Coturnix japonica: one gene and its partners. The protein of the gene in region 3 interacts with the protein of the main gene of each other region in a pairwise test. Links are inferred from orthologs where the notes say so. Each region holds a gene or a part of one and is shown on either strand. Other genes may lie near its edges.

Region 1 (2,923 bases), on a different chromosome or scaffold from region 3:
TTGATTGGCTGATGAGAGATAACTCTCTCCGTTGATTGGTGCATGCTGTGTGAGCGGGTTGGTCGGCGGGCGGGATGTTATCCGCGCTTTGATTGGAAGAGAAACACCTCAAGGCCCGCCCCCTCCCACCCGCGCATGCGCACTGCTCCACCGCCCCCATGCGTGGTGCTAGGCCTTAAGATGGACGCCATGATGGCAGTACCCCATGCACTGCCCACTGCCCACCCTCAGACCAGGCCCATGCAGGCAGCCAGGCCCCAGGAGCTATAGATACAGCCCTATAGAGCCTATAGGCAACGAGCACTGAGGCCAAAAGGGCTTTAAGAGCTGGAAATCCATAAGGAGAGGGATAAAGGAGCAGCTGCCAGCCCTATAGAGCCTGTAGGCAATGATCAGTGTGGCCAAAAGGGCTTTAAGAGCTGGAAATACATAAAGAGAGGGATGGAGGAGTAGCTGGCAGCCCTATAGAGCCTATAGGCAATGATCACTGCAGAGCCAAGCACTGAGGCCAAAAGGGCTTTGTTTGAGAGCTGGAAAAACATAAGGACAGGGATAAAGGAGTAGCTGCCATTACACAGGGATGGAGCTTCCAAGCTGGGCTGTTGATTGAGGAATGGGGCTCATTTGTGCTTGGCTCGAGGGAACTCCCTCCTGCCCTTGTCGCGGCCCCCGAAGTAGCGCACGCGGTGGATGGCCTGCAGCTGCCGCTCGATGGTGGCCCTGATGTCCACCCCATCCGGGATGTGCACGTAGCGCACGTTCCTGCCCGCCACGAACATCTCGTCCAGCTGCGACACCTCCCCTCGTCTGTCCGTGAACGTCACCTGGGCCAGGCGGATGTTCATGAAGGCGTCGACGTTGGACACTCGTCCCGTGGCCGTGCTCTCGTCGCGGAGATCCACGGTGGTGACGTGGCCGTGCAGACCTTGCAGCAGGATCACCAGGCTGTTCTCGGCGATGGTGCGCTCCTTGACTGAGTGGCTGACCTCCATGGTGGGGCTGCAGCATATGAATGGGGAGATGCACCACCAGCACCTCCACCTGCAGGACTCGTGTATATACACACCAGCATGGCAGCTCCATCGCCTGCCTCCTCCCCTTGCACGCCCAGTGCTCATCACATCCCCCCCTTTGCACACAGGGGTGCCCCCACCCCCTTTATGCACTCACACAACTCCCACCCCACACATTCAGACCCCCACCCAAAACCCACACTCACCCCCGCAGCTCCCTCACCCCACTTTTAGCCCCCATCCCACTCACCGCCCGGCAACATGAAGGGGCGGCCCCTGTTTCTCGCTGCCCCGCTTGATCCCTCCCCGTTCGTCCCCGCCCCACTCGTCGGCTCGGAGGCAGGATGGAAGAAACGCCTTTAATGGCTCACAACCCGTCCATCAGAGCCAGCAGGTCCTCTCCCTTCCCGCAGCTCTCCTCGCACTGTTCCGCCACCTGCAGGTCGCCCATGATTCGATCCAGCTCCGCTCTCCTCGCCGGCTCCTGAGTAGAGATAAAGGCTCAGCCAGGCGATAAATAAAGCTCTTATCGTAGTAGTTTGAATGTATGTGAATTGCAGCTGAACGTACCTCGGTGGCTTCAATGTTCACAACCTTGTATGAGAACTCCTCGGGTCTTGTCAGCGCCGCCTGCCTTTAATTGAAAATATAGAGTGCTTAATGTGGTGCCATCCTGTCACATCCCACCCGTTCCACAGGTCAGTAGTGTTTTTCAATGGTCCATGCAAGAAGGTGGTAAGCGACTCGTACCTATGAGAAATTTAGACAGCACTGCTGTTTCTAGCAGGCAAACTAGGATGCTGATCCCATTTTGGAGACTGAACCCTGCTTTGGGTTTTCTGATGCTAAATGTAAAGCAGTGGAAACGTCTCCCTGCCAGGAGGGGGCTGCAGTGCTCCAGCCTATCTGCCTCCTCACCTCCCTTCACTTATTGCATCTCTCTGAAGTGACTGTAGGACAGGAAAGCTAAGGGTGCTGAAGGCACACACCAGACTGTCAGTGCCCCAGCATCACCTGAAGGCAGTATTAAAGCTGTTAAGGATCAGCTTCAGCCTCCAGGTTTTGTCCACGTATCATTAAATCACAACCCCCAGACCACAACCAGCTGCATCATACTCTTCTTCTTCATCTGTCATGAATAAATTCAGTCGGAATCCTGTCTCACTGCCACTAGGTTTCTTGATGTCCAGACCTCCCAGCAGCCTGGCCAAGAAGTTCAGTTCTTCTTTAGCAAGAGGGTTAGGGGTTATATTCTCCTGCAGAAAACAGCAATGGGTTCATTGGTCAGGTTACCAGGAAGAAGAGGACTAACAAAGCTACTATATTCTCATATTACCTCAATATACACAAACACATTCATGTACTGTTAATGATACAGGCAACTCATCATTATTAGTCATGGGTTAATAAGGTGGTTGCTTGAATTTCTAGACCCAGGACAAGGCAGTTTTCCAGCTAAATCAAAGTGAAATCAGCAAACTCAGCTCCCTGTTTTCTGAAGAAGTTAAAAAGAGGAAGCAAGATTTCAGCAGGCCACTTCATCAGCTTATGTCTACTATTACTTAGGGAAACGTGCCCATAGCCTCACTCAGATGGGGTCATGGAGAACTGCTGAGGTTTGGAGAGAAAGAAGTAAACAGGTACCCTGAGAGCACTAACTCAAATGATGTTACATGAGAAAGGAGATAAATGAAAGAGAATGCAGCTATCCAGTGAATGAGTTGGAGAAGGGCAGCGTGTGTGCTTGATCCAGTGACCCCAGCTATTAAGAGATGGGGGAAACAGAATGTAAAGTCTGATGGGTGCAGTGAAACTGCCCAGAGGAAACCCCTCTCCCGTGTGTGACCACCTGCAGGCCTTACTGACACACACTGCTGCCAGGGTCATGAGTTTTACCAGTGACAGCATCA
Region 2 (4,250 bases), on a different chromosome or scaffold from region 3:
ACATTGCTGAAAACATGGCTTCCACTGTACGAACAAAACAGAATCATCTCAGCAAGCAGCCCAAAGGAAAGACACCAGGAGTTATCTTTCAGTTGGCAGCTGTGAAGTGCAAGTGCTCAGTAGGGCTGGCGCCTCTCAGCTGGCGAGCAGGGAACCTGCAGTTCCACCCAGCAGCTGGAAGCACAGCTGGACTTCCAGGAACCACACCTGCAAAATCAGGCTCCCTCCTCAGCTAGGAAGTGGCAACTTCAGCTAAGATGCTGTTAGAAGCAGCTTTTGCACTGTATTTTAATAGTTGCTCTACTTGCAAGGGTTGAAAATCAGAAGTCTGATCTGACATTAGGGCTTGGCACACTTCAAGGTTAGGAAGTCACAACAGGTGGCAACCAGATGTGGCATGACCAGACTCTCCAGATTAACATCAGATTTAATCCAACCTAGTTCTCCACGCATGCTTCCATCATGTCACTGATGACAAAGGTTCAACAGAGGCAACAGCAGCAACTCAGTCAGTGGTTACCCACCTCAGGAGTCCTTGCAGTATCTAATGTGTCAGATGCTTAGAAATTGGATCCAACTGGAAGCTCCCCACAAGACAGGGTATGATTGTTTTCCAGTGGTAGCATCTGAACATTAGCATGTTCCTAATTAAATGCTAAGAAGACACTGAAGGCCTGTGCCATTCACATCAGGTACAGCACCCCTTCCCCATCACTTACAGGCTGATTTGTCGCTAGGCACAAATCTGAACTCTGCAATTGGTTCGATGTCATCATCGCTGTCTTCCTCCTCCCCTTCAGCCATGGGGGCCTCCTTTGTCTCCTCCTCTTCAGGAAATTCAGATTAAAAGAGAAAAATGATTATTTTATCCAAAAAAAGAGACAGCTTTAGCACCTTTAGAACCATAAGCAAATCAGAAACCCGGACAGAGCCTGCAACAAACAAACCTGCTCCCATCCATCTGCAGACACACAGGGTCCTCTCACAGCACCCTGGAGAAGCTTGCAATGCACACAAGAACTCTGCTTTCAATTTGAGGAGCCAAGTTTTCTATAGCATTCATGTAATCCACAATCCTTACTGCTTAACCGCAGAGCGGTTGAGCTACGTATACAATCGTTAACTTAAGAATCTTAGGTATTAGGGATCCCTTGCACTGCTGCCCTGAGATCAGCCAGTTTCCAGTCTGGCCTCCCACATAGGACTGACGTTGACAGGAGGCCATACTCAATTTCTTGTGTTCTTAGCAAACCACTAAAGCAATGAAGCAAAAAGTCTCCCCACAGCCCATGTCAGCTGCGGGTAAAACTTTGCTTCCTGACTACTGTGTACCACATAATTGAATAAGTGAGCAAGAACACGATGTTCTACTTCCGTAAAAACAAAATCCACGCAGGATACAGCTTACAGCTCATCCCTTTGTGGCTGGGGAGGTTGAACTGACAGCTTCAAAACTGCATGGTTACTTTCTACAGCAAAAGAGGACTAGAGTAAAGCTGTATTCACAAAGAGTGGCTTTTATTATGAACAGAACTGGCAACGAGAAGAACACGAAGATGCCAAGAAGCTGCCAGCCAAACAATGATACATCCAAGGAATTCACCCAGTCCCTTTGGAATTGACCTCCCCATGCTCAGTTTGCTGCTGCTGCTACATCCAGCTCTTTGTTTTCAACCAAGTCAACCCCTGCCTGCCTTCCTCTAAAGAAGGCTGAAAATGAGGCAAATATACACACAGAGCACTACTAAAACATCCAAAGAAGAACAAGATGTACTGTGCCCAACTGAAAATCAAGACTCCTGCAGCCAGCAAAGCAGTGATGTTTCCATATAACACTGTTTTAAACAGTTAAAACCATGGGTCGGTCAGGGACAGACATGAGAGCTGAACACTCAGACTCACCCTTAGCTGGGCACCTACTGTGGCCAGAATTCTTTTATGTCGATCTATCGAGGTTTTGAATTCTTTTATGTCAACTCATTGAGGTTTTATTGACTGGAATTATCACAGGAAAGATTTTCAAGTATCACTGTAACAATTAGAAGCTGGAAATAACATCTTTCTTCAAGGCTTAGCACTCACTGCTCTTCAAATGATACAATACAGCAGAGTTGATGAGACTTAAAAGCATTAAAGGGTCTGGCAGGAGTGGGAATGCTATGAATATCTATTAAGCTCAATAACACGAATCACTGTCTTTTAATGAAACTTCAGCCCTACTGTAATTATCCTTCACGGAGATGAAAAGATACTGCTTGAATTAAGGGTTTAGGCTTTAAAAAGCAAAACTAATTCCCTTTTTGAGGGAGGGATGGTGGGCCTTACCTTCAAACCTGGCGTTCACCATGACATACAGGTGCTCCCAGGGGTACGCGTTCAGGTCCCTGGAGACAGCATGTAAACTTATGGTGGGATAATCCAAGGAGAAGCCAACTCCTGAGTTTTCCAGCCATGACAGGCGGCTAAAAAGGGGGTTAAAGAGAAACACACGTAAGAGAGAAGTTAGAAATTAGTACCTGAACCTGGAGAGAAGCAAATCAAATCCAATCGTTCCCCTCAGCGCACCCCCCGCGGCCTACAGCGCACCCACAGCCCTCATAACCGCCCCCATAGACCCCGCTCACCTCTCTGCTATGTAGAGCGTCCCGGCACCCAGACTGCGGCCCGACAGCACCGCCTCCGTGTCGGGCTGCCGGTGCCGGACACCATCGGCCGGCGGCGGGAACCGCTTCAGGAAACTCATGGCGCAGCCAACACCGCCTCCCCCTCCTCCTCCTCCTCTTCCTCCCTCCCACCGCCGCCGGAAAAGGAAATGGCGGCGTTGTCGGGCCGCTCTGGATCCGACTCTATGGTGCGAAACGACCGTGCATCAGCGCTGCCATCTTGTGGCGGGTAGGGTAGGGTGGGGTAGGGTAGGGTAGAAGGTGTTAATTGGTAGGGTAGGGTGGGGTAGGGTAGGGTAGGGTAGGAGGTGTTAGGGTAGGGTAGGGTTAGGGTGGGGTAGAGTAGGGTAGGTTGTAGGGTAGGGTAGGTTGTAGGGTAGGGTAGAAGGTGTTAATTGGTAGGGTAGGGTAGGTTGTAGGTAGGGTAGAGTTGGGTAGGGTGGGGTGGGATAGGGTAGGTTGTAGGTAGGGTAGAGTTGGGTAGGGTGGGGTGGGGTAGGGTAGGTATTGGTGTTGACGCGGTGAGTTCTGGGTAGGGTGGGGAGGAATAAATTGTTAGTGTTAGATAGGCTAGGCGGGTTTAGCGTCTGAGTAGAGGGTGGGGTGTGTGGTAAAGAGGGTTAGGGGTAGAAGAGGTGTTAAATTTGGTCTTAGTAGGGTAGGCCAGATGGGGCTCAGCGGTACGGCAGGGGGTATGGCGTTTAGGGTCTGGGGAAAGATTAGCGGTAGGGGCTTAGGCATAGGGTACTTAGGGAGTAGGTGACCCAGCGGGTGGGAGTCTGCTCGGTACGGCCTAACGTTGCACGTAGGTCATTTAGTAGGGTAGGAGGGTGGCGTAGGGCTCAGAGGTGGGGGTAGGGTACAGGGTAGAATTTGTGTTCATATTGGCGTAGGGGCTCGGCGTAGGTCTTTTTTGTCTTTGGCCTCTAGGTCTGGGCGTGGTTGCAGGTGGCTGGAGGTGCCCCTAGGGCAGGGCTGTGGCCGGCCATCCCTTGTCCGCTTTCTAGCGCCCGGGAGCTGAGTCGCTCAGGAGGTGACGAGAAGTTAACGGAGTGGGGAAGATAAGGGTAATGGGGAGTAAGAAGGTGTGTAATTGGTGGGGTGCTCACGTGGTGGAGAGAGTAAGAGGAAGGGAAGGGAAGGGAAGGGAAGGGAAGGGAAGGGAAGGGAAGGGAAAGGTGTTAATTGGAAGGGACCTTCAGGTAGGGAAGGGAAGGCAAGGCAAGGTGTTAATTTGGAAGGGACCTTCAAAGATCAGGGTATGGTAGGGAAGGGAAAGGAAGGGAGGGAAGGGAAAGGTGTTAATTGGAAGGGACCTTCAGGAAGGAAAGGGAAGGCAAGGCAAGGTGTTAATTTGGAAGGAACCTTCAGGTAGAGAAGGGAAGGCAAGGCAAGGTGTTAATTTGGAAGGGACCTTCAAAGATCAGGGTATGGTGGGTAGGGTAGGGAAGGGAAGGCAAGGCAAATTTGGAAGGGACCTTCAAAGCTCATCTATTCCAACAGCCTGGCCCCTTCAAGGCTGATGTAAGTTGAAGCATCCCAGTGAGGGCATTATCCACACACCTCTTGAACACTGACAGAGTTTTC
Region 3 (4,295 bases):
TTTACCTCCTTCTGAGGGGCCTTCACTGAGTCACTATTAAAATTACAAGAATGGTTTTAGCATCAGGAAGTGCATGGGTTTGTTCATTTAAAAATGGAAGGGAATGAAAACAAAAATGAGGAAATAAACAAAGCATCATCTCTGCATCAGTAACAACAGATGTAAAGGTTGTAAGTATTTGACAACTGAACCGTGTGTGTGCCTGTAAAGCGAGCAGTCTTTGCCATGAATAATTACAGGCTCGTTGAACAACAACGTTTCAGTGCAGACACAGGTCCTGGTTCTAACAGGTTGTTTGAATGAAGATGACTGAACCTAAAAACAATGACCCATCTTTCCTAACAGCTTGTATGAATGTCTTCATTGAATCATTTGTCTTTACTGAGACCTCATAATGCACTGGGATTGGAAGTGCTTGTGTTTCACTACGCTAACACCCAATGATTTGGTTGGCCAGTGAAATGAGACCAAGCAGCTTCATTCTTCTCATTAATACAATCCCCCTTGAAATCTCTACAGGAAGACCATATATCTCACAGCAATGTTTCTGTTCATGCTCGATGCCATAAAACCTCCCTAGTCTTGTGTAGAAATAAATGAAACGCTATCTTACAATTACGATATTGATTTGAAAAGGCTCAGATATTTGCTTCCCATGCAGACTGCCTTCCTCAGACAGATCCTGCCATCAGCCAGGCAGTACTTCTGTACAGCTGTGTGTCACAGACAAACTAAACTGGCCTGCCAGCTTAACGTAACCCCTTTATGTGAACATTGTAGGGCAATGGACCCTACACAACAACCACAACATCCAACCCACAACAACCACAACATCCAACCCACAACAACCACAACATCCAACCCACAGTGAGGTACAGAGCGCATCATGATGAACAACAGCTAAGCTTACCTGCACTTTTCCTCTTCGTGATCATCCCCTTTATTTTCAGGGTCTCTCTCATTTTCTTTCACTCGCCCTTTTACCCCTTTTTGTTTTGAAGGCTTCTCTGCTAACTTAGCAATTCCAGCATCACTGTCTTCCTCCTTCTTCCTAGCTGCAACTCCGGCTCTGCTCTTCTTTACACTGTGTTTTTCTTCAACAAAATCACCTACATCGAAAAGAAAGAAATTTTCTTCATGGATATAACCTCATCCCTATGGATACATAGCAATATCTCTGCAGGCTCCAGCAGAGCTGCACTGAACAACTCCAGCCCCGGCCCATCATGGGGGGCTGCTGAGCTCCATGCTGACTGCCTCCCTCCCTCAAAGCAGAGCAGCCCCAGAAGCCGAGCCTCCCACACTCACCCTCCTCACGTTCCTCCGCACCATCCCGCCGTACTCCCACCCCTCCAGGCCGCCTTTTGCCGGCAGACACCCGCTGAACCGACGCTTTGCGCTTCCTCGCCATAGCGGCGAGCATTACCCCGCCCCTTCAGAGCGGGGGGAAGAGGCCGGGCCATAAAGTATCACGAGAGAGAGCGAGAAGCGGTTTGAAAGATGGCGGACGAGGTGGATCAGGTGAATGGCTCTTTACTTTTCTTAGGGGGGAGCGGTGTTTCTGCGGCCACCCCGGCTGCCAAGTGAGGTGGTGAGGGCCTGAAGAGAGAGCTGGTGGGTTGGTGGCACATCCGTGTGCCTTCCCTTTGCCATATGCCGTGCTGCCGTGTTGGTTTGAGCCATGCAGCCTGTCTGCTTCTGTGTGGATACTGGGACTTGAGGGAGCGTTTCAGAATGCAAACTGAGGAGTGGAGGAGTTCGTATTCACTGCTCCTGCGTGAATAACTGCTTGTTTCGGTGTTGTTTTCAGCAACAGACAACGAATACCGTCGAGGAGCCCCTCGACCTCATCAGGCTCAGTCTGGATGAGAGGATCTATGTGAAGATGAGGAATGACAGAGAGCTCAGAGGCAGGCTGCATGTGAGTGCCAATTCCAAGCAGGCAGCAGGCTGTGCTGTTATGTGCAACTATTTGTTATGTTACTGTAATGTGCTCAACAGCAGCGCTTGGTTTGTGCAGTGTTCTGCCAGAGATTCAAAAGGTGCATTTTGTTTTTCCGTGTCTGTTGTCTTTTAAATGATTCCAAGTGATTCGTTCTCTTGATTTTTGCTTTTATTCCCATGTCTGTGGACTAAGTAATAATGCAGGCATCATCTCATAAAGGACTCTCGACTCTGTTAAGATGGAAATAAGTATATCAAGCAACTGTCTTGTAGAGCAAACCCAAGGACTGCTGGGATGTGTACTCAGCTGGGTTCTCTCCATACTTGATTTGTTCTTTGTTTTCTTTTGAGAGCGATGTCTCTTAGTGAGACAAACTTTTGTTTTCTGTTTGGTTGTGTTATCCTTCTGGAATGTGGTGCTGTGCTGAGGAAGGGAACCAGTTTCCCATGTGGTAACTGGGCCTCAAATACATTTGAGAACAAAAAGGTGAGGACAGATCTGTGATGCACTGGTATAATTCCTAAGTTCCCTTTGTAGGGTGTTTGGAACAAGTGCTTAATTAAAATTTATGTATTGTTGTTTGAGTTACAGCTCTCATAGCTATAGATAATCCAATCCCAGAAATCTGGGCTGATAGCAAATAATATTTAGTTGGATTAATGCTAACGACAAGAACAAGTGTGTCCACCTCTGAGAGTTTGTGCATGAGCTTCAGAAGGAGAGTTTCAGTGAGTATAAGAGCCTTCCTTATGCTGTGGAGTACTGATGTTGGCCTTTATAGTTGAAGTTACAGCTGATACATCATGTTCACACATGGAACATCTTGACCCAAATCAGGTTAAAATAATTTTGTTTGAGTGTCTTGCTAGAATTATGGATTTAATGAGCTTGTGCTTGAATTTTGGAAGAAGTAATGAACTTTGTTCCTACAGGCATATGATCAGCACTTAAATATGATTCTGGGCGATGTGGAAGAAACTGTAACAACAATAGAGATTGACGAAGAAACATACGAAGAGATTTATAAAGTAAGGACTTCAGTGTATTTACCTCCATAGAAAACTTCTTGCAATCTAGATTGTCATGTTGTCAAAATAATGTGTTGATAACTGCACCTTTTGGACTAGGATCTAGCAGGTGTTTTAGGCAAATTGTTATGAAAGCACAAAGGACATCCAGGTGCTTGTTGATTTTGATATCTTCAGCAGGACGCGAAGTTGCATGTTTGAGCTGATGTTTGTTGGTGTTTTTTTAGGATTGAATTTTGTCACATGCTTAGTAGATGTGTTCTGTATACTTCTCTTTTGTAAATGTAATCTTTTCTTTGCTTCTTCATAGTCTACCAAAAGGAATATTCCGATGCTCTTTGTCAGAGGTGACGGCGTTGTGCTTGTAGCTCCCCCGCTGAGGGTTGGCTGAAGCAACCAAGGATTGAACCTTCTTGGAAGGTTTCAGGCTCTTGGACGATTTGTTTTGATCATGTCTCAGAATTGCATACACTTTTTAATAGAACGTTTTTGCCTATTTTTTGTGGAAGAGGAATGAGTTTTTCTTGCAGAAAGTACCTGTCAGCTGAAGCAGTGTGAAAACCTCATTTTCCCCTGAATTAATGTAACTGCTGTAAATGAGCTGTGTGTGACATAAGTAAAAGCACCCTGTTTTTTCAATCTTGGGAATAGCAGTGTCTTTTTTTGTTTGTTTTAAATAAATTTGGTTTACCTTTCAGATTTGATGTGTTATGTTTTTGTTGAAAAGGTGATTTTAATGAACTTCTCTAGTGCTAATGCTGTATTAAGTTGTGATAATGTGGCTTTGCTTCCTGAGAAAGCAGTGACTTGTTTGGTGTTTTGATTTTTGTCCATACTGAAGTTTTCCAGATTGATGTTTTGGAGGAGGGCAACACTGTGTTGGTCTATGGTGTACTAATCTATGGTTTTATGTAAACATATCCTTGTAGGAGAGAAATTCTGTGTCCTGCTTAAAATGCATTGATAGAATAGAATTTTTACAGCTTTTTCAGATGCTTCTCTTGCAGCTTTGTTAGCAGAGCAAAGCTTAGCAATACCATCAGTAGGAAACAAATTTAGTAGCCTGATTTATGCATTCATTTGCCACCATTTGTAGCCATTTTCAGTTCTTGAACACATTAAATTCTGTAGAAAACCAAAGATGCTTCCTGGTTATCAGTGGGTGCACAAGAGCCTTGTACACTGCTTTTTTTAATACATAGTTTCTCAGGCCTTCCTGATTGCACTTTATTCTCATGGTGGGGCTGGAAGGGGAATGAATGTTTTACTTGGAATGGCTATGGAATGTTTTACGAGTATATTTGAAAGGCATATTATAGACA

The links.
Region 1: the proteins of LSM3 (region 3) and LSM10 interact in binary tests that used the Homo sapiens proteins (3 or more experiments, as listed by UniProt). The link is inferred for Coturnix japonica from reciprocal best matches to the Homo sapiens genes LSM3 and LSM10.
Region 2: the proteins of LSM3 (region 3) and CLNS1A interact in binary tests that used the Homo sapiens proteins (3 or more experiments, as listed by UniProt). The link is inferred for Coturnix japonica from reciprocal best matches to the Homo sapiens genes LSM3 and CLNS1A.

Annotation. Positions count from the first base shown.
Region 1 is NC_029538.1:3,590,693-3,593,615, reverse strand, and holds LSM10 (U7 snRNA-associated Sm-like protein LSm10), read right to left. Parts: upstream 1,372-2,923; 5' UTR 1,264-1,371; intron 1,000-1,263; 5' UTR 993-999; coding exon 621-992; 3' UTR 503-620; downstream 1-502. Other genes in the region: protein OSCP1, read right to left, coding at 1,381-1,497, 1,584-1,647, 2,130-2,269. UniProt on the Homo sapiens protein: Appears to function in the U7 snRNP complex that is involved in histone 3'-end processing. Increases U7 snRNA levels but not histone 3'-end pre-mRNA processing activity, when overexpressed. Required for cell cycle progression from G1 to S phases.
Region 2 is NC_029516.1:172,769,398-172,773,647, reverse strand, and holds the start of CLNS1A (methylosome subunit pICln), read right to left. Parts: upstream 2,815-4,250; 5' UTR 2,744-2,814; coding exon 2,625-2,743; intron 2,463-2,624; coding exon 2,326-2,462; intron 828-2,325; coding exon 720-827; intron 25-719; coding exon 1-24. UniProt on the Homo sapiens protein: Involved in both the assembly of spliceosomal snRNPs and the methylation of Sm proteins.
Region 3 is NC_029527.1:8,367,231-8,371,525, forward strand, and holds LSM3 (U6 snRNA-associated Sm-like protein LSm3), read left to right. Parts: upstream 1-1,423; 5' UTR 1,424-1,500; coding exon 1,501-1,521; intron 1,522-1,810; coding exon 1,811-1,921; intron 1,922-2,877; coding exon 2,878-2,973; intron 2,974-3,283; coding exon 3,284-3,364; 3' UTR 3,365-3,672; downstream 3,673-4,295. Other genes in the region: XPC (DNA repair protein complementing XP-C cells), read right to left, coding at 1-33, 911-1,109, 1,309-1,423. UniProt on the Homo sapiens protein: Plays a role in pre-mRNA splicing as component of the U4/U6-U5 tri-snRNP complex that is involved in spliceosome assembly, and as component of the precatalytic spliceosome (spliceosome B complex).